Coturnix japonica: one gene and its partners. The protein of the gene in region 2 interacts with the protein of the main gene of each other region in a biochemical or structural test. Links are inferred from orthologs where the notes say so. Each region holds a gene or a part of one and is shown on either strand. Other genes may lie near its edges.

What was found. The genes of interacting proteins can lie anywhere in the genome.
Region 1: the proteins of UBC (region 2) and JOSD1 form a complex in vitro, tested with the Homo sapiens proteins (4 studies listed by BioGRID, with this or other methods). The link is inferred for Coturnix japonica from reciprocal best matches to the Homo sapiens genes UBC and JOSD1.
Region 3: the proteins of UBC (region 2) and N4BP1 form a complex in vitro, tested with the Homo sapiens proteins (6 studies listed by BioGRID, with this or other methods). The link is inferred for Coturnix japonica from reciprocal best matches to the Homo sapiens genes UBC and N4BP1.
Region 4: the proteins of UBC (region 2) and MINDY1 form a complex in vitro, tested with the Homo sapiens proteins (5 studies listed by BioGRID, with this or other methods). The link is inferred for Coturnix japonica from reciprocal best matches to the Homo sapiens genes UBC and MINDY1.

What each region holds. Positions count from the first base shown.
Region 1 is NC_029516.1:46,388,486-46,394,730, reverse strand, and holds the start of JOSD1 (josephin-1), read right to left. Parts: upstream 3,971-6,245; 5' UTR 3,258-3,970; coding exon 3,073-3,257; intron 1-3,072. Other genes in the region: GTPBP1 (GTP-binding protein 1), read left to right, coding at 4,440-4,631.
Region 2 is NC_029534.1:5,348,137-5,352,230, forward strand, and holds UBC (polyubiquitin-C), read left to right. Parts: upstream 1-1,294; 5' UTR 1,295-1,455; intron 1,456-1,516; exon of another isoform or gene 1,517-1,641; intron 1,642-2,191; 5' UTR 2,192-2,197; coding exon 2,198-3,571; 3' UTR 3,572-3,713; downstream 3,714-4,094.
Region 3 is NC_029526.1:6,160,678-6,166,956, forward strand, and holds the start of N4BP1 (NEDD4-binding protein 1), read left to right. Parts: upstream 1-2,309; 5' UTR 2,310-2,324; coding exon 2,325-2,741; intron 2,742-5,295; coding exon 5,296-6,279. UniProt on the Homo sapiens protein: Potent suppressor of cytokine production that acts as a regulator of innate immune signaling and inflammation.
Region 4 is NC_029540.1:2,195,956-2,202,427, reverse strand, and holds MINDY1 (ubiquitin carboxyl-terminal hydrolase MINDY-1), read left to right. Parts: upstream 1-2,502; 5' UTR 2,503-2,639; coding exon 2,640-3,110; intron 3,111-3,347; coding exon 3,348-3,405; intron 3,406-3,715; coding exon 3,716-3,780; intron 3,781-3,879; coding exon 3,880-4,038; intron 4,039-4,173; coding exon 4,174-4,276; intron 4,277-4,355; coding exon 4,356-4,498; intron 4,499-4,738; coding exon 4,739-4,909; intron 4,910-4,995; coding exon 4,996-5,136; intron 5,137-5,208; coding exon 5,209-5,289; 3' UTR 5,290-5,555; downstream 5,556-6,472. UniProt on the Homo sapiens protein: Hydrolase that can specifically remove 'Lys-48'-linked conjugated ubiquitin from proteins. Has exodeubiquitinase activity and has a preference for long polyubiquitin chains. May play a regulatory role at the level of protein turnover.

The DNA of each region.
Region 1 (6,245 bases), on a different chromosome or scaffold from region 2:
GTTCTCTTCTCTTACAGGGCAGCAAACTGCAGCAGAACTGCCTCAAACAATGCGGTACCACAAAAATCTATTCATACTGAGCAGTCCTCAGCAAGGCAGTGACATTGTCAGATAAGCAGAGCAGAGACTTGGAGGCTATCTTACAAATCAGAGATACTACTGTAGCTTGTCACAGCCTTCCCAGCATCACCATAAAGCAAGATCACTGGGCTACAACTAATTCCTCAAGAACATTGCTCCAACCTATTATCTCTCATGAAAGCCTCCCAGTTAAGAGCCCTTTGGTTTGCACAAGCACCCTCTCGTGGCACAGTTTTCCAAAGACAAGTTTATTTGCGGGTTGAAAGAATGCACTTATCTTTGTTCTCTCCTGTAACTCACAGAGGCCCAGAAATGAGATAAAAAACAGAGGTGACACTCTGAGAACTCTTACCCACCAGAAAGCCTTCATCAAAAGCCGCCTCCAGACACTTCTGCTCACATACACTTACACAGGGTACACAACTATCAGCTGAAGGACTCTGACTAAACAAGGAACAATACAATTATTTATCTAGAGACTAATCCAGGCAAGACCGATGGAGCTGAACAGAACTACAGGCATCAATCCTGAGTTTCTGAGTCACAAACCTTCATCAACTCCAACACAAAGCTGTCTTTTCTAACCAGATCTCAAGGAACAGACTCAAGTGAAGTGGTTTTGTTGGCACAACAGGAACAAGCAATCTTACTTCCTGAAACAGAAGGCAGAGAAACATCAAATAGATGGATTTCATATTAAAGTAAAGAAGAGAGGGAGGGCTACAGAATCAGAGGGGAGCACGGGACATGCTTTGGCGTATACTTGAAATGATGATAGTAATCACGCTACGCTGGCCTGGAGCAATGGGATGCAGCAAAAGGGAAATGGATGATTAAGAAACACACTTCCATTATTTTTTTCAAGGGATGTGGTCAGACCAAGGGAAAGCTTAAGCTCATTTGTGATTTCATTACCATGTCAACATTAAGCTTCAAAACATAACGATGCCTAGCGACGTTTTTGTAGCTTATTAAAATATTCATCAGTGTTTTGTCACATTCAGCAGAACCCAGTGTATGACTAGATACAGGAAAGACGTGTGGAAAAATGATGTCTAAAACGCGGCTAAGACCACACTACTTAAAGTCAAGCCAAAGAGTCGAAAACAAGCAGTAACTCCACAGAGAGGCAAAGGAGGAGGCAACTGTTATGCATTCCTCATTGCTCATCCATTTAGAACGTTGTGAGTTGGAAGGAACCCACAAGGATTGCAGAGTCCAACTCCCGGCTCCGTGGGACCACCTAAAATTCAAACCACATTTTCAAGAGCATCGTCCAAACACTGTTTCAACTACTTCTGTGGGGTTGAACCAGTCTGCAAACCTCCATCAGAATATTAGAACGACACAACACCAGTCTGGAATTCAAGATATTCATCCTTTTGGGGCAAGAGGTCTCACCAGACGAGCACCTCAGTGCTTTATATGAAAAGTTCCTTGCTGCACACTAATTCTCTCATCAAGCCCAGTGAAAGTCAACTAATTAATCATCACGCCACTTCTACCACAGGAACTGCCGCTGTTTACTTCAGGCCAGTAGAATCCATCCGTGATCACAGCTCTGACAATTGCTACTCTGCAACAAAACCACAGAGCCTTTATGCTGGACAAAGTTAAAATGCTGTTGGATCAGCTCCTCTTCATGAATAGGCATTTTATTTACAGTACCATCGTAGATAGCACTTCCATCTGATATTTGCAGCTGTCTATTACCACATTTCAATGGCTAAGGAAAGGAAGGCACATACATGACAAGCCGAGCTCCAGTTCAATAAACCTTCTGATTTTTAGGGTGGTGGCAACAGGGCAGGGAGCTTTGTCCAGCAGCACCTCCAGCCTAAGTGCTGCCATGGAGAGCTATTCCCTATGCCTCACTAACACAATGTGCTGTCAGCTACTGGTAACAAGTACTCAACCACAGCCTCAGTGAAGATTAGATACAGAGATGGAATACTGCAGGGAGGCTCCATTTACTCTTTAGCTTCATCAGTTAAAGTCACCAGAACTTTCAAAGGCAAATTGAGGAAAATTGCAACAAAGCGTTAAACAACATGAAATAAACATCTTGCCAAATGAGTTATTTTGCAGGACACATTCATCAACTACAGTTTCCCGTGTAAGGCTCAAGAATGCCTTTATTAATTATGTGAAGCTTCCAGGAAGTGTTCAGCCAACACTGCAGAAAACATGGATCTAGCTACCGAGATTAAATCCTGTTTGGTGAGCAGGGTCTCACTGCAAGGAAATAAAAAAGGCTGCAATATTTGAAGAACTTCATTTAAATGCTTGAATAAGTTGACGAAGCCTTAACATCCAGCATCTTCTAAGTCCTATTGTACTGAATTGAGAAGTTTTTATAGAGTGATCGAATGGCCTGGGTTGAAAAGGACCACAATGATCATCCAGTTTCAACCCCCCTGCTGTGTGCAGGGTTGCCAGTCACCAGACCAGGCTGCCCAGAGCCACATCCAGCCTGGCCTTGAATGCCTCCAGGGATGGGGCATCCACAGCCTCCTTGGGCAACCTGTTCCAGTGCATCACCACCCTCTGTGTGAAAAACATCCTCCTGATATCTAACCTAAACCTCCCGTCTCAATTTAAAACCATTCCCCCTTGTCCTATCATTATCCACCCTCATATGATGATCCCTTTATCATCCTGGCCATCCTCGCTCCCCAGATCTGTTACTACCCAAAGATAACACACCAATAGGAGGCAGGGGCAGAAGAGAGAAGATGCATTAAGGTGGATGCAGCACAACCGCACAGCAGCACCTGCAATAAAGCTCTTAGGTTGAATAGCTTTAGAAACAAGAGTAAGAGAGGTGTTCTGTTTAGAAAGAGGAAACAACAGGAGTGGAATGGGGTAAAACAGAGCTATATTCGACTCAAAGCAGCTCCAAACTCTTCTCTTCATCCCCAGAAATAAGACCTGCAAATCCTTATAAGCACCAAAGCAAGCAAACACTTCTGCCAGTGCAGAATGCGATACCTCTGAAAAATCTCCTGCAGGGTTTCCCTAGTGAAGGCGTTGCTGTCCTGGAAGACATTGTTGAGGGCATGGAGGGCACACAGCTCCCTGCGCTGCTTCTCGTGGTAAATATGTAGCGGCGGCGGTTGGGGTGGCTCTGGGGACTCCGATTTGGCCTTGTCACCTTTCCATGGCACGCAACTCATCTTCTCACAGGGCGGATGGCGAGCAGGAGGTGAGAAACTCAGCAGGCCGATGTCTCTTCCTCAGAGTCACAGCAGCAGCGCGCAGCCCCTTTACTTTATAGGCGAGGGCCGCTTCCAGCCCGCCAACCCCCCTCTTGTGCTTCAGTTTATTCAGTAATCGCCTCTGACTGCTGGCTTTAACAACCACCTCCTTTCTCCCATACCCCATAAAACGCCACACAGCCCTAACCCACCCCCCCCAAAAAAAAAGAAACAAAAACCCGAATAGAAAGATAACCAAAAGATACGGATCCCGTCAGTCTCAAGGTGCCGGCTGGATGCTCCCACACCGCTCCTTCTCTTCCATCTCCGTTCCGCAGCGCAGGCCGCACGGAGCTGCACCCCGCAGGGCCGGGCTCACAGCTCGGGCCCGCCCCGGGGCACGGAATGGGCCGGGGTCCCTCAGCTGCCCTCCTCCATTGCTGCGGGCAGGGCAGGCTCCGGGATGCCAACGGCTCGAGGAAGGAAGCCGCCTCCTCCCTCCTAGGCCATACAACACGGCTCCGGGCTCCGCGGCGCCCGGCGGACCGCCCCGCACCTCCACCCGAGGGAAACCGCCGTTAGGAGCGGGCAGGGCCCGCACGGAGCCCCGACGAACCGCCGCTGCCCGGCCACGGCCTCCTCACACCAACCGCAGCGGCGCATGCGCCCCCTCCTTCCTTCTCTACTGCGCCCAGGGGGTTTCTGTCAGGAGCCCCACAGACGCTCGGCGCGTTCCATTGGTCGACTCAGCTGTCCATGAAACCGTTCATCTTTTTCATTGGTTGATCCGAGAGAATGCCCGCCCACGTGTCTAACTACCGTGGTGTTCGGTCCCGCCCCACCGCTCAAGCCTTCCTATTCCATTGGATAGCAGGGCTGCTTGTCACGAGGAGCAGCTCTCTCATTGGACAAAAAGTACTCGACACGTCGAGCGGACTGTTGTGTGTGTATATATAGCAAACAAGCCGAGCTGGCAGTGCTGCTCCCATTGGCTCCGCGCTCCCCGGGGGCGTGGCCTCTTCACGGTCCCGCCCACCGCCGCTTTGACTCCGCGCTCCTTGCCGTCCCACCCGCTCTCCCATTGGCTGTCCGTCCTTGGCGGGCGGTGGGCGTGGCCTCCGCGCCTCCCGGGGCGGGGGCGGAGGGGCCGGGGCAGGGAAGATGGCGGCGGCGGAGCGGAGCCGCTCCCCGGCGGGGGGCTCCCCGGTGCCGGCCTGTATGTTCGCCCCGGAGCCCGGCTCTCCGGGCGGCAGGCCTCGCTTGGCGGCGGCCGCCTGCTCCTTGCGCTCTTCTTTCGAGGCGGAGGACGGTGAGGCGCTCAACGGAGAGCCCGAGATCGATCTCACCAGCAAGGTAGGCCCGAGGGTGGGCAGGGGCCGGGCCTTCTGTCACAGGGTCCTGTCCGGCGGGGAGGGGTTGGTACAGATAGCGGGAACCCTGCGTGGGCTCCTCGAGTTCCGTCCCGTTCGGCTGCTCGCGGTAACACTCCGCTCCGAGGGCCCGGCCCCTCTATGGGAGCGAGCAGGGGCTGTAGGAACCTGTGAGGGAACGGCTGAGCGCGGCACTGAACGCTCGGAAGATATCCTGTAAGGAAGCGAAGGATGAGCATCAAAACTTCAGCGTCCGCTGGGCCACCTGTTTGTGTCTGAGCAAGCTGGGCGAGGTGTGGATGCCGGATGCCAGCACCGACCTGTGTACGTGTGTGTGCTTTGTGTTGGATATGACCGGCGTGGAGCAGCGCGCAGGACGTCTCCGAGGGCTGTCACCCATCCTGACAGCTGGGAACCGCCCGCAGCTCTGACCAAGAGGGAGGAAAGCTCTTCTCCTGCTGCTTCCATTGGTGTCAGCAGCCAGCCGTCAGCTCCCAGACACCTGCAGGCAAAGAGGAAATGACAGGTGAGCGTTGTTTTGACCTTTATTACCACTGACTTCTCCACACAGCACTATACACCTGCTGCCCTGCTTTCTCAAAGTGGTGCTGCAATGGCACAGGCTGCACAGAGAGGTGGTGCAGTCACCGTCCCTGGAGGTGTTCCAGAGCCGTGTGGATGTGGCACTGAGGGACGTGGGCAGTGGGCATGGTGGGGATGGGCTGGCGGATGGACCAGGTGATCTTAGAGATCTTTCCCAACACAAATGATTGTACGATCTCTGTCTTGGACGAGTGCTAAGGCTGTGAGCTCTACCCTATCTCCCATTCTCTGTTCTCAAAACAGCAGTCTCCCATATGGTGTGAACACAGGAGCTAACTTGGCCTCTTCCCCACCCCCCATTTCTCTGCTTTCCAGCTGAATTACTTCTCACCACTTCCTGCTTAAAACAGTGATTCCCACTGCAGTTAGTTTGCTGGCTTTCTGTCCCACTCTGACCCAGCTGTTTGCTGTCTGACACACTTCTCTCCCATTCCCCTCCCCAGTGTCTTTGCGGTGAGTTCTGCTCTTCATAGAGAACAGTGCTGGGGGATTTCTTATCAAGCACATGTACTTCATCAGTTGATCAAGCAAACAGTTCCATTCATCAGCACAAATCCATTATCACATTAATTTTAGTAGATGCTTCTTTTTCCTTCAAGACTAGTACACTGCAGTAGTAATTATCTTTTAGGTCAAAAACAAATCTCACAAAGCTATTGTGAAGCAAAATTTTTTAAGTTATTATACATTAATTCTACGCTGACAACAGAACATTAGTAACACTCAAAGTATGTCTGTCTACAGGAAATAGGAAGTAAACTATGATGTTATGGAAGGTGTTGGTGTGAGATTGAAATGTCACAGGGCTGGGTTGTCTTTGCCCTGACTTCTCAGTGGTTCGTGGTAACCTCCCAGCCAAACGTCTGACTGTGTCATACTAGTAGAGCAGCACTGCATGCTGCTTAGTATTTGTTTTGCCTTTAACCTTTATAGTTTGCTCACCTTGTGGGTAGGGGATGTATCTTTCCTTAGGACTGCCTGTGAAGTATTCATA
Region 2 (4,094 bases):
TTTACAGGTTTGCATTTATTTATACACAGTCCAGTCAGTTGCTTATTCACATGGAGCTACTGGAGGAAGGGCAGTATGTGTGCTAAGTACTTAGATATATTTAACTAGAAAACAACTGCTTTCGTAAATAGTTTACTCATAGGATTTGGCAATAGTTTTTTTGCTTGTTTGTTGAAGGGAGGGCTCTGGCATTTTCTGAAAGTGCCGAAATCCTTCATGCAAACCCAAAACACCCAGGGCAGACTTTAGCTTAGCGTTGTGGTTAATATCCAGTTTAGCAGCTGTGGCCTTTCACATTTGTAAATATTATTGCTAGTTTCTCATGGCTTTCCTCTCAGAGCTCCTTGTTTAGCTGCCTTGGCTCTAACCTCTGCTGCTTTGGTGCTATGTACACGAAAAGAGCCTATTGGAAACAGTGAGCAAAGTTGGCAGTATTAAGGAAACAGCGTTGCTTAAGTAAGGCCTTTGTCCTAAATCTACGTAGTCCTAAATCTACGTAGTCCTAAATCTATGTAGCTGAATAGTATCTCCGAGGTTTCCAGTTTCTCTTTTCCTCCCTTCCCGTCTACATTCTGAGTAACTGCTGGGAAGATTTATGTCCTTTTTACTGTAAACCAAGTGCTGAGCAGTCACAGGCCTTGCTAAAAGAAGTGAAAGCTCTCTTTTTAACTGGGGGAAATACAGCCCTGTGTTCAGTCCTGCTATTCACACACACGTTCGTGCTTCCTAAGCAGAGGATTTACCAGCAAGTTCATCTGTGTTCACCGAGCAGTAAATGAAACAGCAGAGAAACCTTCCTGCTTTCTGCATGCTCTGGTTATGATATAAGAGCTGTTCTGAAAGGTATAATGAGCTTTAATGAACACAAAACATGCCGCCACGTCGGCTCAAAGCAGGAAGCTGCTGTGTGACCTGTTCAGTGCTTCCTGTTCTGAAAGCAGCAGTGGGCCTGCTGTGATTAAGGGGTATTTTTGCCCCCTTTCTCCTTGTCAGACCCTTCCCTAAGCAAATAACAGGCAAAAAGATGCGGCCTAAACACAACGTCCCCATGGGCGCGGGGCCTGCCCGGCCTCTCCCTGCCCCCACTCTACGGATCTGCGCATGCGCACACCCCCCCACCCCACCGAAATCTGCCCCCGCAGAGCAGGGCCGCCCTAGCAACAGCGCTGACCTCACCGCGCACCAATCAGAACGCTGCAACGCTGGAATCTTCCAGAGCTTTCTTTACAACGGATCTTTCCTTAACAACCAATCAGCAGCCACCTTTCTTACTGCTGCGCCAATCAGCGCCGATCTTGCCACCGTTGGGATTAGAACGTTTCATTAGGCCGTTTCACCGCAGCTCCAGATCCATCCGCGCCCTCAGAACTTTTGGGATTTTGAAGGGTCTCCTCTCTCTACCGAGGACATCACGGACCCCATTACTCCTGGAGGAGGGATTGGAGCGGTAGAGAGGTGAGTATTGCTGGTACCGGGGGGGGGTTCGTTTGGGACTACTTTGAGAGGCGGAGGGATACGTCAGCGCTTTGAGGGCGGGGACTGTGCGGCGCAAGGAGCATAAATAGGGGCGGCGCTGCGTCACAGCGCAGAACACAGCGACTGGGATCGGGATTGCATTGATCGGAGCTCAGGGCCGGAGACGTGAGTTGTGTGGGGGGAGCGCTGAGGGGGGGGAGAGAAGGGACGGTGGTTTTTTGTTTTCAAGGCAGAAGGGGTTGGAGTGAGTCCGCTTGGGGTTGTATTTGTGAGGGGAGGTGGTTGTGGACGGTCTAATCCGGCCTAAGGGCGCTTGAAGAACGGTGCGAGGGGGGGGGGGGGGCAGGGGAAGCTTGTGGCTGAGGAAGGTGGGGTGTTATAAAGATGGCGGAGCGCGGCGCTGTGCGGCCCGGAAGCGGGAGCTGAGTCAGCGCGGCTGCAGCCGTTGTGCCAGTGTGAGAGCACGGGGGGGTGCCCTGGAGTTAAAGGAAGGGGGGTGCTGGGCTCGGCCAGCACAGGGCATTCAGAATTATAGGGTCCTACCTCAAGGAAGAGGTGGGGAACAGGAACAACAGGGTTAGTTATAGCTTATTGAAATCCTAAATGATGTAACGTAATGCAAATTAGTAAGTTGTTCTTTTTTTTCTCGTTTGTAAGGTGTATGTGGACTTAAAGTGCTTTTTAGCTAAGGCTAAAATTTCTGTATGTTTTTCAGGTAAACATGCAGATCTTTGTGAAGACCCTGACTGGCAAGACCATCACCCTTGAGGTTGAGCCCAGTGACACCATCGAGAATGTGAAGGCCAAGATCCAAGACAAGGAAGGCATTCCTCCCGATCAGCAGAGGCTGATCTTTGCTGGCAAGCAGCTGGAAGACGGGCGCACCCTGTCTGACTACAACATTCAGAAAGAGTCCACTCTGCACCTGGTGCTGCGCCTCAGGGGAGGGATGCAGATCTTTGTGAAGACCTTGACTGGCAAGACCATCACCCTTGAGGTTGAGCCCAGCGATACCATTGAGAATGTGAAGGCCAAGATCCAGGATAAAGAAGGCATTCCTCCCGATCAGCAGAGGTTGATCTTCGCTGGCAAGCAGCTCGAAGACGGGCGCACCCTGTCTGACTACAACATCCAGAAGGAGTCCACCCTGCATCTTGTGCTGCGTCTGAGGGGAGGGATGCAGATCTTCGTGAAAACCCTGACTGGCAAGACCATCACCCTTGAGGTTGAACCCAGTGACACCATCGAGAACGTGAAGGCCAAGATCCAAGACAAAGAGGGCATTCCTCCCGATCAGCAGAGGCTGATCTTCGCTGGCAAGCAGCTGGAAGATGGGCGCACCCTGTCTGACTACAACATCCAGAAAGAGTCCACCCTGCATCTTGTGCTGCGCCTCAGGGGAGGGATGCAGATCTTTGTGAAGACCCTGACTGGCAAGACCATCACCCTTGAGGTTGAGCCCAGTGACACCATCGAGAACGTGAAGGCCAAGATCCAAGACAAAGAAGGCATTCCTCCTGATCAGCAGAGGCTGATCTTTGCTGGCAAGCAGCTGGAAGACGGGCGCACCCTGTCTGACTACAACATCCAGAAGGAGTCCACCCTGCATCTTGTGCTGCGCCTCAGGGGTGGGATGCAGATCTTTGTGAAGACCCTGACTGGCAAGACCATCACCCTTGAGGTTGAGCCCAGCGATACCATTGAGAACGTGAAGGCTAAGATCCAAGATAAGGAAGGCATTCCTCCCGATCAGCAGAGGTTGATCTTCGCTGGCAAGCAGCTCGAAGATGGCCGTACCCTGTCTGACTACAACATCCAGAAAGAGTCCACCCTGCACCTGGTGCTGCGCCTCAGGGGTGGGATGCAGATCTTTGTGAAGACCCTCACTGGTAAGACCATCACCCTTGAGGTTGAGCCCAGTGACACCATTGAAAATGTGAAGGCCAAGATCCAAGACAAAGAAGGCATTCCTCCCGATCAGCAGAGGCTGATCTTTGCTGGCAAGCAGCTGGAAGATGGGCGCACCCTGTCTGACTACAACATCCAGAAGGAGTCCACCCTGCACCTGGTGCTGCGCCTCAGGGGTGGCTATTAGTTGTTGTCAGCAGTCTTGTCGAGCAAGATGCACAGCACTTGTGTTTGCACTGTAGTCTTTCTGATGTCTTAAATTAAACGCAAGCTTAAGTAACTGCTGATCTGTATGTTGAAATGCTAATAAAGTTTTCTGTTGCACATTACGTTCTGTTGTCTGTCTCAGTTCAAGCTAGTAAACCCAGTATATATAAATGACACGTTCCTTTTGGCTTTCTTCCATGGTGGTTTAAGCATCTTTATGTGGGTTGTGGAGGTATTTGAGGGTGAATCCTAACATGGATTAAAGTCTTAAGTCTAAGCACTAGTACTGTGTCACTAAATCTTGCTAGAATTTAACGTGATTCTGTATTTTCAGAAAGGATGCAGTGTTCCTGTAAGGACTTCAGAAGCTGCTGTCCATCATTAAGGCTGTAGGACTAAGGTAGTGGGAGTGGGTTGTACACTGCACTGTGTTAGAATGGGTGGTGCTGAGGTTCCATTACCTCACTTAGGTGTGACTTCTCAGTGTCCTTGGTGCAGTTTTT
Region 3 (6,279 bases), on a different chromosome or scaffold from region 2:
CCACAAGTATTTCAGTAGTGTTCAATACCCTCTCACATTAAACATTATACGCTTAGATTATCACTTGTGTTGTCAGTCATTCAAGTGAAACTCCAGGATTTAAATACACAGCAAACACACAGCGTGGAGTGTTTAAATTAAGTCATAATAACACAGCTAAATATTTACATTAAAGAAAAAAAAAATAAATTGTTTCTTGGAACATTTCCCAGGCTAAATGATGGTCTTTGCCAATACACCTGCAGCTCTTTGCAACTAATTAAGAAACCTGAGCTAACACACTCAAAAAGCTTAAAAAAAACCCAAACCAATGCAAACACCACTGCATAAAGAGAGAATGAATTATTACCAACATTCAGCAACTGACACGTGTAATCACAATACTTTTCTTTTTCTTCCTTTTTGAAAGATTCAAATGCTTACAATTTTAAAGAGCTTGGAACAAAGAAAGGTAATTAATCTAAAATTAAGGGACAGATACAAAATCAGTAATAGAAACTGACAGTTGCAGAATCTATACCTTGGATAATTCTCCAACAGTTTTCCTCTGGAAACCAAAGAAATAAAACAAAAGCTTTGATCAATGGGTTCATTAAGAACTCTGCCTTGCAGTCAGCTCTACAAAACGAAACTTTCTGAATCACAGGGTTCTAGTTTATCTTGAACATTAAAATGTCATACACTGTATAAGCTTAGTACGTTGGAACACAGTCTTAAGGAACCTTACTCACTTGCAATGATCTCCCTGAGAGACGTTTCATACCACTGTATGAAAATCACCTCAGAATACAGATTATAGAGAATTATACAGATCACAATAAATTCTGCAGTAAGTGCAAGTTTTATAACATATGCGTGGCAAAATACCCCATCTATATAAGGAGCACCAAACATTACCCACTTTACTTAGAAACCAGTACATTTTCAGCTACCCTGGGGTGCTCCAAAAACTAGTGCTGACGTGAGAGAAAGAAAAAAAAGCATCTTATTTCAGCCTTTTCATTATATTTTGTACCTCAAAGTTGTTTGTCGTTTAATTTTTACTGTAAAGTTTCTTGCTTACAATTTCATTTTTGGTTAACAGAGGCTGCAACGCAGCAATGGCTGCAGTGACCACATTCAAACAGCCGATGGCACCAACTACCTCCTCAAATTGCCCAGCAACTGAGTGTGTGTATCAGAGCGTAATTTAACTTGGGAAAGCAAATAGAGCTTAATTACAAATAAGGGGAATCTTTTCAGAAAAATGAAATATATATTAAGGAAAATCGATCACCTTTCTCAAACATAACATCGACATTAGAACCATATCCTGTTTCAGAGTGCATGAGTATGTGTAAACGCTGTATGCACAGGTGTAACTCACCCCATTTAACCAAGCAACAGTTGCATTGCACTTCAGGATATAACGCTGTAAATTCAGAGAGCAAAAAGTACACAGCTGTGCGATTTGGTGTGACCTTCCGATGGGCACTGACTGCAACATGTCAGATAGTTAACAAGTTTCGAAATAGATAAACGTCTTTATCAAAATACCTTGTATTTACCCTCTCCTGCTGTAATGTTGTGTATTAAAGGAAGAAAATAGGGACGTTTAGGTTTAAAGGGAATTCGCTTTCCCTCTGGAGGATGCATTTAATGAACAGCTGTGAAAAACCACCAGCACAGCAACACCAGAGGGATGGATGGAAGCCAGGGGGATCAAAGAGCGAGAACCTGGAGGGTGTTAGTTGTGGTCAGGGGAGGAAACGAGGAAGACCCAAAGGTGTTCAAGACCAGGTTGGACAGGACCCTGGGCAACCTGATCTAGTAAAGGTGTATGTTTGGTGGCCCTGCCAGGCAGGGGGTTGGAACTACATGATCCTTGAGGTCCCTTCCAACCCGGATCATTTGTGATTCTGTGATATTCACTCATTGCTACAGCAGTTGCTCCATACCGACAAGTGCAGCTATTCAAGAACCTGGTAGAGCCTCAGCGCTTCCCTAACTGCCGGGACGTTTCTCCCTTTACAACCTCAAGGGACACAACTTACTTTTCCTACATGTTTGGGGTTTGTTCTGAACGGAATCCACCGCGATGGCAGCACGACACCGCTGGGACCACTGAGCAGGGCTCACACAGCCGCTCTCCCTCGGGGCACATGGCGCTGTTTGCTCCGTGCTTCCACACGCCACGTCCATAAGCAAAGAGGAAACCAAACAAGGTTAGCCGCCTCGCTACAGCCCGGCTGGGCTCCGAGCACCGCAACAAACCGTCCTCCACGTAGTGAATGCGGGGCGGGGCCTGACGGAACAACAGGAGCCGTCACCGCTCTCGGCAAAACATGGCGCCCGGGTTGTGGAGGGGACACGGCCCAGTTCCGGGTGAGGCGGTGCCGCCGTCGCGGGCTGATGACGCACGTACCGAGCGAAGGGAGCCCGGGGATTCCCCGTGTTGTTGTCCTGCGGCCCGCCGGGATGAGAGGCCGGAGCGCGGCCCAGAGCGGCTGGCGTTGATGGCGGCTCGTGGGGCGGCCCGCGGCTCCGGGCCGGGCCTGGACGAATTCACCGTCCCGGCCGAGAAACGCCGCTTCCTGGAGGGCAGCCGGGGCCGCATTCAGGGCCTGTTCGAGGTGCGGCTGGCCGTCCTGGAGGCGCAGGGGGATTGGCGGCCCGCACTACCGCCGCCGGGACAGCCGCCGCCCGCAGCCAGGATCTGGGTGCAGCTGGAGGGCGGCGGGAAGGCCGTGCGGAACGCCAAGGTATGGAGGAGGAGGAGGACGAGGAGGAGGAAGAAGAAGAGATGGGGGGGGCGAGGGGCCGCGGCTGAGCCCCACCGCCCGGCCGGGACCTGCCGGCATCGGTGTAGGAAGTGGTTGAACTCTGAGAGCAAAGGGCAGCGCTGCTGCGGGACGTGCCGGGGGCAAAGCGCAGCGTCCTCCAGTCCGACCTCACGGTGCTCAGAACGACCAGAACGCAGCTCTCCCTTGTTCTGCAGCTCCAGAAGTCGCAGGGTCGGTTGGGTGTTGCCAGGTTTCGCGGTTGGTTTACACACGTCGCTGATTCCATGGCCTGTTGGCCGGGCTCTGAGTGACAGCTCAGCCGAGCTCTTATTTCCTCCAGGAAAAACTCGGCAGCTCCAGGCTTCTTCACCTGCTGGTTTGCTGGAGCTTTCTTCCAAAACAAGAAGAATGTTATCAGTGCTGCCTGCACCCCTGGTGATGGCACTGGCTGCTGTGAGGGTACTTGTATAGAGTTAGTTACACCACTTGTACAGCTGGCACAATGGGGGTATTGGTAGGAGCTGTGTGCTGGTGGGGGACCTGTCAGCTGTGTGTGTACGTATCGTGTGCTGAGTGCAGCAGTGTGAGAACCATATTGGCTACATGTAGCTCTGAAGCCTGAAGTTCTGATAGCTGGGCTTAACACACAGGTACACAGTGTACTTTATGACTTAATTCACTTCACATTCCACTTTGAAGAACTTGACTCCTTTCTTGTGCCATGCATCAGTTGTAGGGAAGATACTATGAAAGTTAAGGTTGTTGTATTAACTGACTCTGGATCTCAGCCAGTTTGATTCTCTGTTGGGCTCAGAGATTCTGGAAGCTGTTACAGGTGACATAAGGGATATTTCTCCTCTCGGGCAGCTGCAGCACAACTTCCTGTTTCGTTGTTTTTTGGTTTTGTTTTTTTTCCTAGAAAAAGCCTAGAAAACAATTTTCAATTCTGTCATTGCTTCTTTCCTGACAATATAGAGATTGCTTCTTACTCCACATACTTAAAAGGGTATGTCTTTATTAAAAGGAGATTCTTTCCTCACGTTTCAAGCCTTCTTCAACCTTATCTGGATGGCTTGTTCACTAGAAAGTATTAATTATCACACATCTTTTTGTTCTTTTGAAAACATTCTATTACAGCATTTTCTGTTTGAATTCATCGATCATTTGCAGTATTCATTCTGCAGTGCTGTTCTCTTCTCTACTCTTGACGTGTTTTTTAAGCGTGTTCTTTAGCAGCAGCAGTCATGTGATGGGTAAGGCACAAACATTTTTCTGTTGATTTTACTGCAGAAGCAGTTTGTACTGGTAAGGTCTTGAGGTGTCCTGCCCTGGTGCTTACACCAGTATGACTCAGAGATGATAAAAAGTGGCCTTGCATTCTTCATCACCTTGTAATGGTTTTCAGTTTCATTTAAAAGGGAATTTCAGTTTCCAAGGCTTAAGGGAAGACAGTCAAATTTGATATACTGGAGATTCTGCAACTATCGTGACTGCAGCTTAGAAAGTGGTTTCACTGCATTATAGAGTTTGAAGTACAGTAGACTTAGGAATAATTATGCTGCCTGACCAAAACAAAGTATTGTGCTTTGGCAGCTTCTAAACTCAGTGATAAGTATAGGGCAAAGAACAAACAATAAGTAGATAAAAATATAAATACCTTTGCAGTTACTCTTTGGGAGTTTTTCAGAAGCAGCCTTTGAGTCCACTGTTAGGAATCTATCACAGGGTGCTTCTGATAAAGTGTGTGTTCTCTGGCCAAAAAATGGGGATAACAAAATAAATCTTTCCGACTTGTTAAAAGTGAACACTAAAACTAAAGGCAGTGGGGAAGATCAAGATTTATTTTAGATGATTTAGCCTAGTAAAATAAGAGACAGTAATTGAAAACTGTGTCTGTTTAGCTGTGTTTTTAAGTGAGTAGCATAAATACCTTTTTGAAACCCAGAGGAGTGAGTTACTGTGTAACTACTGGAAGTTGAGTTTGGTCCAAATATCATAATTTTAACTACCCATCCTTTCTCAAATTTAAGACACAAATGGGAGTGCCTTTACTTGTTTGAGCTCGAGTGCTTTCAGATATTAAGAATTCTGAGAATCCAGGATGTTAAGGTATTTTTATCAGTGATAAAGTAAACATATGGTGTATTTGGAACCACAGCTTAAATACTCAGTTACTATCAGTTTCAAGTGAACTTAGTTATAAACAATGGAATATAAAAAACTAAAAGATAGCCTTCTATGAGATCTATTTAAAAATCACCTCAAATACATGTTTTGTATTTGTATTTACTGGGAGTATTTACTTTCTCAGATTTACTGTGCAAACCTGGCTTTATTTTTATTTTGCTTGGACAGGCTGGAGAGTTGGCAGAGAGGATCCAGATGAAGTTTAACAAGCCTGCTTGGGCAGGGGGTTGGACTAGGTGATCCCTTCCAGCCCCTGCAGTTCTGTAGTTCTAGTGTATTTGTCCATTACTGATTTTAAATGTCAACTTTTCACAAGATTCACTTCTCTGTCTTTTTCTCCTTCTAGGAGTACATTAAGGGTCTCTGTGAACCTGAACTAGAAGAAAAAGAATATTACCCAAAGGACATGCACTGCATTTTTGTTGGTGCGCAGAATGTGTTTCTCAACAGTCTCATTCAGGATACCTGCGCTGACATAACCGTGCTGGAAATAGGATTGCTTAGTATTAAAGGGGGTGCAGAAGCAGTTGTTATGGCTCAGAGTCAAGTTCAGCAGTTTGTGAAGCTTTTTGAGAATAATGAAAGTTTGTCAAGTGAATATGAATCAGATATTAAAAAGCAATTTAGGCAATTTGTGGAAGCACATGCAGATAAATATACAATGGATTTATTGATTTTGCCTAGCTCACTAAAAAGGGAACTCCTAACTCTGATGCAAACTGAATGTTGTGAGTCAGGGGATGATATAATAGATCTTACAGGGTCCCAAAGCCTAGCAGAGTTCTTACAGGACAAAACCTCCCAAGTCACTGTTACAAGCAGAGATGGAAAAACAAGGAACGAGGAGGAGAGAAACAATGCTGGGACTCCTGTATCTGAGCTTACAAAGCAAATGGACAACGTGTTTTCTGATGCTTCTGAAACAACTTTTGTTCCCATAAATATTGTGCCTCCATTAGAGGCAATGACATCTAAAGAAAGACAATCTTGTAAAAGACGATTTTCTGATGCTGAGGAACGTCTCCCTAAAAAGCAGTTCTCTTTGGAAAATGACCAGGAAGTGAAGGCTATCTCACGCAATGATCCTTCCGAGAGGGATGCAGTTATTGATCTGATTTCAGATAGCTGTGGTGACTTAGATGATCCCAGTTACTGTATAAAAGAAGGCGATGATATCAGTGAGGAAATAGAATATAAAATTCTTGTAAACTTTTTCAGAACGATGGGATATTCACAAAGTATTGTGGAAAAAGTTATTGGTATTCTAGGACAGTCTGTGGAGCCCTTAACGCTGCTGGAAGAAATTGAAAAAGAAAACTTAAAATTTCAA
Region 4 (6,472 bases), on a different chromosome or scaffold from region 2:
GCTTCTCTTTGAGCACTGCACTCCTCTGAGACCACTCTGCTGCTGTTTGGGGTGTGTTTAAGTGCTTCCCTGGATCCAGGCCTGAATTCCTCTTTGGGATGAGCACATTAACAGGGCTGGTTGTCTGCTTCCTACCTCTGAAACACCATAGCAGAACGCTGGGCTGCAGTTCCCATCCCAGCAGTGGGAAGTGCAGCTCTGGGCTTTAAACCTGCGCAGCTCGTGAGCTAGTTTTAATGAGCTCTGGCGCAGCTCTCGCGGCTGTTGTTAACTCTTGTCATGCAGTTCTCTTGGCTTTATTAACCTGTGGCAGCTCTGAGCTTCAACCTGTGCAGCTCTGAGGCTTCAAACCTGTGCAGCTCTGAGCTTCAAACCTGTGCAGCTCTGAGCTTTAAACCTGTGCAGCTCTGAGCTTTAAACCTGTGCAGCTCTGAGCTTTAAACCTGTGCAGCTCTGAGCTTTAAACCTGTGCAGCTCTGAGCTTTAACCTGTCAGCTCTGAGCTTTAAACCTGTGCAGCTCTGAGCTCTCAGCTTGCTTTTGGGCACTGTGAAGCTGCACTCCTTGGGCTCAGGTCCCCCTCCCTTGTAGGGGGGCAAAGGGGATGGTCTTGTTATAAAGCTGCCAGGTCTCGATGTGTTTATTGCCATAACACCCAAAGAAGGGCAGGATCTGACCGCACTGCTTCAGTCCAAACACAACCAAGCCACCCTCTTCCCTCAGAACTGCCTGTATCCAGGGCTGCAGCTGGTTTGATTTAAAGCTGCCAGGACCTTCTGAACCTGCAGAGCCCTTCAGCCCGAGGATGGCTTTGTGGGGATGGCCCCTTTGTGGTGTGGGCCACTGCTGGGGGGGAAGGGCTGCTGTCAGGGCTGTGTAGTGCCAGGAGGGTGAGCTGGGGACGCGCTGACGTGGGAGGATGACTCAGAGCCACGCTGAGGGCAGGGCTGTGGGCTGCAGCGTCCTGCTGCCCGCTCACCCCGTTTTGGAAGTGAATTGTGTTGAGCGTCTCCAGCTGCGACTGCAGGGATGTGGTGAGGAGCTGCTGCTCAGCAGCCCCTCGGAAAGGAACAACTCCCTTTGGCAGCAGGACTTGTGGCTGTCAGAGCTCACAGCGCAACCTTTGGGCTTCTGTGGAGTTTGGAGGATTCTGCCTCATCTTTGGATGTGTTTTCACATTAGGATCCCCAGTGGCAGTGGGTGGGGAGGCACAGAGCGGTGCAGACCTCCCCAAAACTCCCCCTGCTTCTTTCCTTGGATGTTTCCCATTCAGCTCCACCTGGAGTGGGAGCAGATGTGCACAGACACTGCATTGAGGGGGTCCCTGACCCCACTGCTGCTGCAGAGAGGGGTGCAGCAGGGCTGTGAGGGAGCCCTGAGCACTTCCACATTGCTCTGCACCCCATGGAGCACACTGCACCCCATGGAGCACACTGCAGGGATGCTCAGCCTTTCCTCTTCACTGTTCATTTGCTTTCTCTGTGCTCCAGCAGCACAGCCTGCACCTTCCCTGCATGGGGCAGGCAACGCCTGTTTGCTCTGCATTCATCCACTGCAGCCCTTCCTGTGCCCCTCCGAGTTGGAAACAACAGCACTGCCAAAGAGCCCAACTCAGCGCCGGGTGAGGGAGGGGGAAGGAGGAGGATTAAGGTGTAATGGGATCTGCTGGTGACTCAGCCGAGGTGTGTGTCTCAGCAGAGCCCTTCCAGCCCTGTGGGGAGAGGCAGCAGTGGGGAAAATGGGGATGGATGAGGAGAAAATGGGGATGGATGGGGGTAGGGGGCAGCCAGAGCTCTGAGTGGAACCACATTGAGACCCATTGCAGCTTGGAGCTCTGAGTCTGGGTAATGCTGCCCCTCTGGGCTCAGCGGAGCTGCGCTGTTGGTGATGCTGCTTGATCCAACTTGTTTCCTTTTTGGTCCATGCAGGGCAGGCCGTGGGAGGAACAGCAGCATGGGCAGAGCTGCAGGTGGACGGATCTGAACTGCGCCAGCACCACGACAGAGCGGCTCTGTTCTGTTTGTGTAACTCCAGGCTTTGGCTGTGGTGATCATCCAACGAGGACAGCAGCGGATAAACGCCTTCAAGGACACCTTTGTCCAACCAACCATCGTTCCGTGGCTCTGGGGCTGGACTGGCAGCAGAATAAGGGCACGAGTGGAACATTTCAGCCCTCAGCTCAGCTCTGGTGGCTCTCACACCCCTCACTCATTGCTGGTGGTGAGCACAAGGAGCACCCCCAGCTGTGCTGGCCTCCTTGGAGCTGCCATCAGCTGGAATGTGGATGCACACACAGAGGCAGAGCTGAGAGAGCACTGCCTGTCATCCACAGTGAGCAGCGGGGCAGGAGGTGGCTGTGGGGCCATCCCAGTGCCCAGCAGTGCCCTCCGAGCATCCCTTGGACCTTTTGGATCTGCTGTGCAGGTTGGCATCTCAGCTCGTTGCTCCTTGGGATTGTTTCAGTTGTTTGGAAGTGACAGGCAGTGCCTGCTGAAGGAGTTGGACTTCTATATGTGTTTTCTTGTGGAGTATCTGAACTTGGCATCTTAAGGTTGGGACCGCAGCAGGACAGAACTGTGTGCTGTGTTGGGGAGCCTCAGGACCACACAGCACTGCTGACGGATGCTCTGAGCTGCCAGGATGGAGCTGCAGTCTGAGCTGGGGGCGATGCTCAGCACCACGGGGGGTGATTCCCAATGCCCAGAGAGCAGCCCTGAGCCCTGCCAGCCACCACGGGACACGGGGAGATCCAAAGAAGGGGGGGATGCTCCATCTGCCAGTGGGCAGAGCCTGGTGCTGCAACCAGCAGTGGAGGAGGAGGTGCCCCACCCCAGCACCGCAGAGGATCCTGCTGAGCACCAGGAGAGCAGAAGCCCAGGTGCCCATGAGGAGCTGCCCACCCCCAGTGAGAGCAATGCATCCCCGGGGGGGGCTTCACAGCCGGCAGCTGAGCCCCAAAGCACCCACTCCCCATCCCGTGAACCTGAGCCTGATTTCTACTGTGTGAAGTGGATCACGTGGAAGGGAGAGCGGACACCCATCATCACCCAGAGTGAGAACGGGCCCTGCCCGCTGCTGGCCATCATGAACATCCTCTTCTTGCAGTGGAAGGTGAGCAGCAGGGGAAGACATGGGGGGGAACGTCAATCCCATTTGCTCCATGGAACCCTAATAGGAGCATTCAGGGGGGCAGCTGGGGGCTGTGAGATAACATGGCGAGAAGGAAAAGGAGAGTGAAGGGATCTCAGCCTGCTGCCTCATCTGGCATGGTCTGTGCTTTCGAGCTGGGGAGCTTAACAGTGTTGGGGGGCTCTGCTGACTGTCCCCCCCCATCCAATGTGCCTCCAGGTGAAGCTGCCCCCACAGAAGGAGGTGGTGACGTCGGATGAGCTGATGGCCCATCTGGGTGAGTGGGACTGGTGGGGGGAGCAGTGCTGGCACTGTGGGCTCCTGGGCTGAGTTTGAGGCAGTGGTTCCCATCTGCCACCCATTGCTCCATCCATGGGGTCTGTGCCCCCACCACGTTCCCTGTGCACAGCTTCTGAGATATTCCCTCTGGGTGCAAAGCAGGAGGGGGATGTGGGGCCCAGCGCCTTTCTTTTGCAGGGGAATGGGGGTTGGTTGGGAAGGGCAGGAACAGACAGGGGAGGCTGAGCTGTGCTGGGCTCCATGCACCACTGGGAGCCCCATAGTGACCATTCTGCACTGCACCCAAGGGGACTGCATCCTGTCCATCAAACCCCAGGAGAAGTCAGAGGGGCTGCAGCTGAACTTCCAGCAGGTGAGTGCTGAGGTCAGGCTGGGGGGTGGGGGGTCACAATGCTGGGCAGTGGGCACATCATCCTGAGCACAACCTGGTGCTGCTCTCCCCCCCCCACAGAACGTCAATGACACCATGATGGTGCTGCCCAAGCTCTCGACGGGTCTGGATGTGAACGTTCGCTTTACGGGCGTTTCTGACTTTGAGTACACCCCGGAGTGCATCGTCTTCGACCTCCTCAATGTCCCCCTGTACCACGGCTGGCTGGTGGACCCACAGGTGGGTGCTGGGGGAGGAGGGGGTTGTTCTCTATTTGGGGGTCCTGAGGGATGTCGCAGTTGTGCTGAGCTCATTGGGTTGGGGTGTGAATTCTCCCATTCTTATTATTTCCTATGCATCCCCCCCCCATTGCAGAGCCCCGAGGTGGTGCGAGCTGTTGGCAAACTGAGCTACAACCAGTTGGTGGAGAAGATCATCACGTGCAAACACTCCGGTGACCCCAACCTGGTGACCGAAGGTGGGTGCTGTGCTGTGGGGGTTCAGGGCTGCCCTGGCCCCGCTCTCATATCACCCCCCTCCCCCCCCCAAACCCCCAGGGCTGATTGCTGAGCAGTTCTTGGAATCCACGGCCTCCCAGCTGACTTACCACGGGCTGTGTGAGCTGACGGCAGCTGTGAAGGAGGAGGAGCTGAGCGTCTTCTTCCGCAACAACCACTTCAGCACTATGATAAAGCACAAGGTACGACCGTGACCCAGAGCTGATCCATGGCATGGGCACATCTGGACACAGATGGAGGAGCGTTGGGGAGGATAGAGCTGAAAGAGGAGAGTTTGGGGGGAATTCCTCGCTCCAAAGGCTTTGGGGCAGTGTGGGTGCCCCTATGGATGGGGCTGGGGCAGCCAGCTTGCAGCAGGGGCTGTGAGTTCCCCCCCCCCCCCCCCACAGTTCTGAGTCTCTCTTCCCATTCCCTGTCCCCAGGGCCACCTGTACTTGCTGGTGACGGACCAGGGCTTCCTGCAGGAGGAATGTGTGGTGTGGGAGAGCCTTCACAACGTGGATGGGGACAGCTGCTTCTGCGACACCCAGTTCCACCTCAGCCACGTGCTGGGCAAAGAGGCGGCTGCGCCGGAGCAGAGTCAGCTGGACCAGGTGAGGGGCTGAGCTGCGGCAACACCAGGGAATGGGAGACCCCCAGCACCGTGCCCACCCCTCTCTGTGCTTCCCTCCATGCCCAGGACTACATGATGGCGCTATCCCTGCAGCAGCAGCAGGGCCAGGGTCCTTCAGCACTCAGTGACCTGGAGCTGGCACGGCAGCTGCAGCAGGAGGAATATCAACAACAGCAGCAGCAGCGGCCACCCCCAGCTCCCCCACAGGTATTGGGGTCTCTTCCTTGTGCCCCTCTGCTCCGTCCACCCCCCATCTCCATCCCCACTGTCTCTCTATAGGGCCGAGCACAGCAGGGCGGCCGCCCAACACCAGAGCGGAGACAGAGGCACAAACAGAACTTGGACTGCACCCTCCTGTAGCCCCCCAGGACCCCCCCAACCCACAGGGATCCTCTGCAGATCTTGGGGACGATGTGGGGGTTGGGGAGGGCCCTTCTTGCACAGTGCTGGGACCGTCCCTGTATTTCAAGTGGCCTTAATATGGGGGTGAGGAACCCGTGGGAGCAGGGTTCCCCCCCCTCTGCCCTGCTATGGACCCTCAGGGATGGTGGGGCTGCTGTGGGGGGGGAGATGTGTGCCCTCTCCCACAGCATTGCCTTAGCCAATAAAGGACTTTACCCATTGCAGTCGGTGCTGTTGGGTGGTGTGGTTGGCTATGGGGGTTGGATGGAGGGATGGGGTTGGCCATGAGGGCTGTGTTGGGGTCGGGGGGGGCACAGGAGTGGCTGGGAGGGGTGATAGGTACTCTGTAGGGACAGAAGAGGGAGTGGGGGGCGATGGGGGGATGCAGGGGTGGCTATAGGAGCTGTAATAGGGGCTGAGTAGGGGGGTTGGGGGGGCAGAGGGTGGCAGGGGAAGGAGTGCGGTGTGTATAGAGGGGGTGGCGGGGGGGGGCATAGGGGCTGAGAGGGGGGGCTATAGGGACGTGGGGGTCAACGGGGAGGGTATAGGACTGCATGGGGGGGCGTCCATGGGGTGCCTATGGCGGCAGTGCTGGGGGGTGGGGGCTCGCGGGGAAGGCAAGGGGTTGTGCCCCCCTCTACCCGGAGCCAGACGTGTGCACCCCCCCCCCCCGCCCTTATCCCGTTAAGTCCCGCCCCCCTCGCCGGGTGCCGAACCATGACCACGCCCACTCCAAAACAGGTAAAGCCCCGCCCCCTCCGCCCGCGGGCCCGCCCGGGCGCGTTGTCGGTGACGTCACTGCCAGCCCTGAGCGGGGGGGGGGGGGCGGCGGCCGGCGTGGCGGAGGGCGACGGAGTGAGTTGGGACCCGGGGGTGGGGTGTCCCATTAAAGGGGGGGGTGGGTAACGGAACGACAATCGTCTTCCGGCCGCCATCTTTGCAGCCCCCCCCTCCCTAAAGGGCTCGGAGCTCCGGTAGCCGCGATAGGCTCATAAACGGCGAAGCGGGAAGCCACACGGGGTGGTGGGGTGGGGGGGACGGTTCGGTTCGCTGCTCGCCCCCGTTGTGCCCTATGGGGATCCCTCGGTGCCCTATAGGGATGTGATATGGGCTATGGAGGGGGTACGGGTGTCGCTGGGCG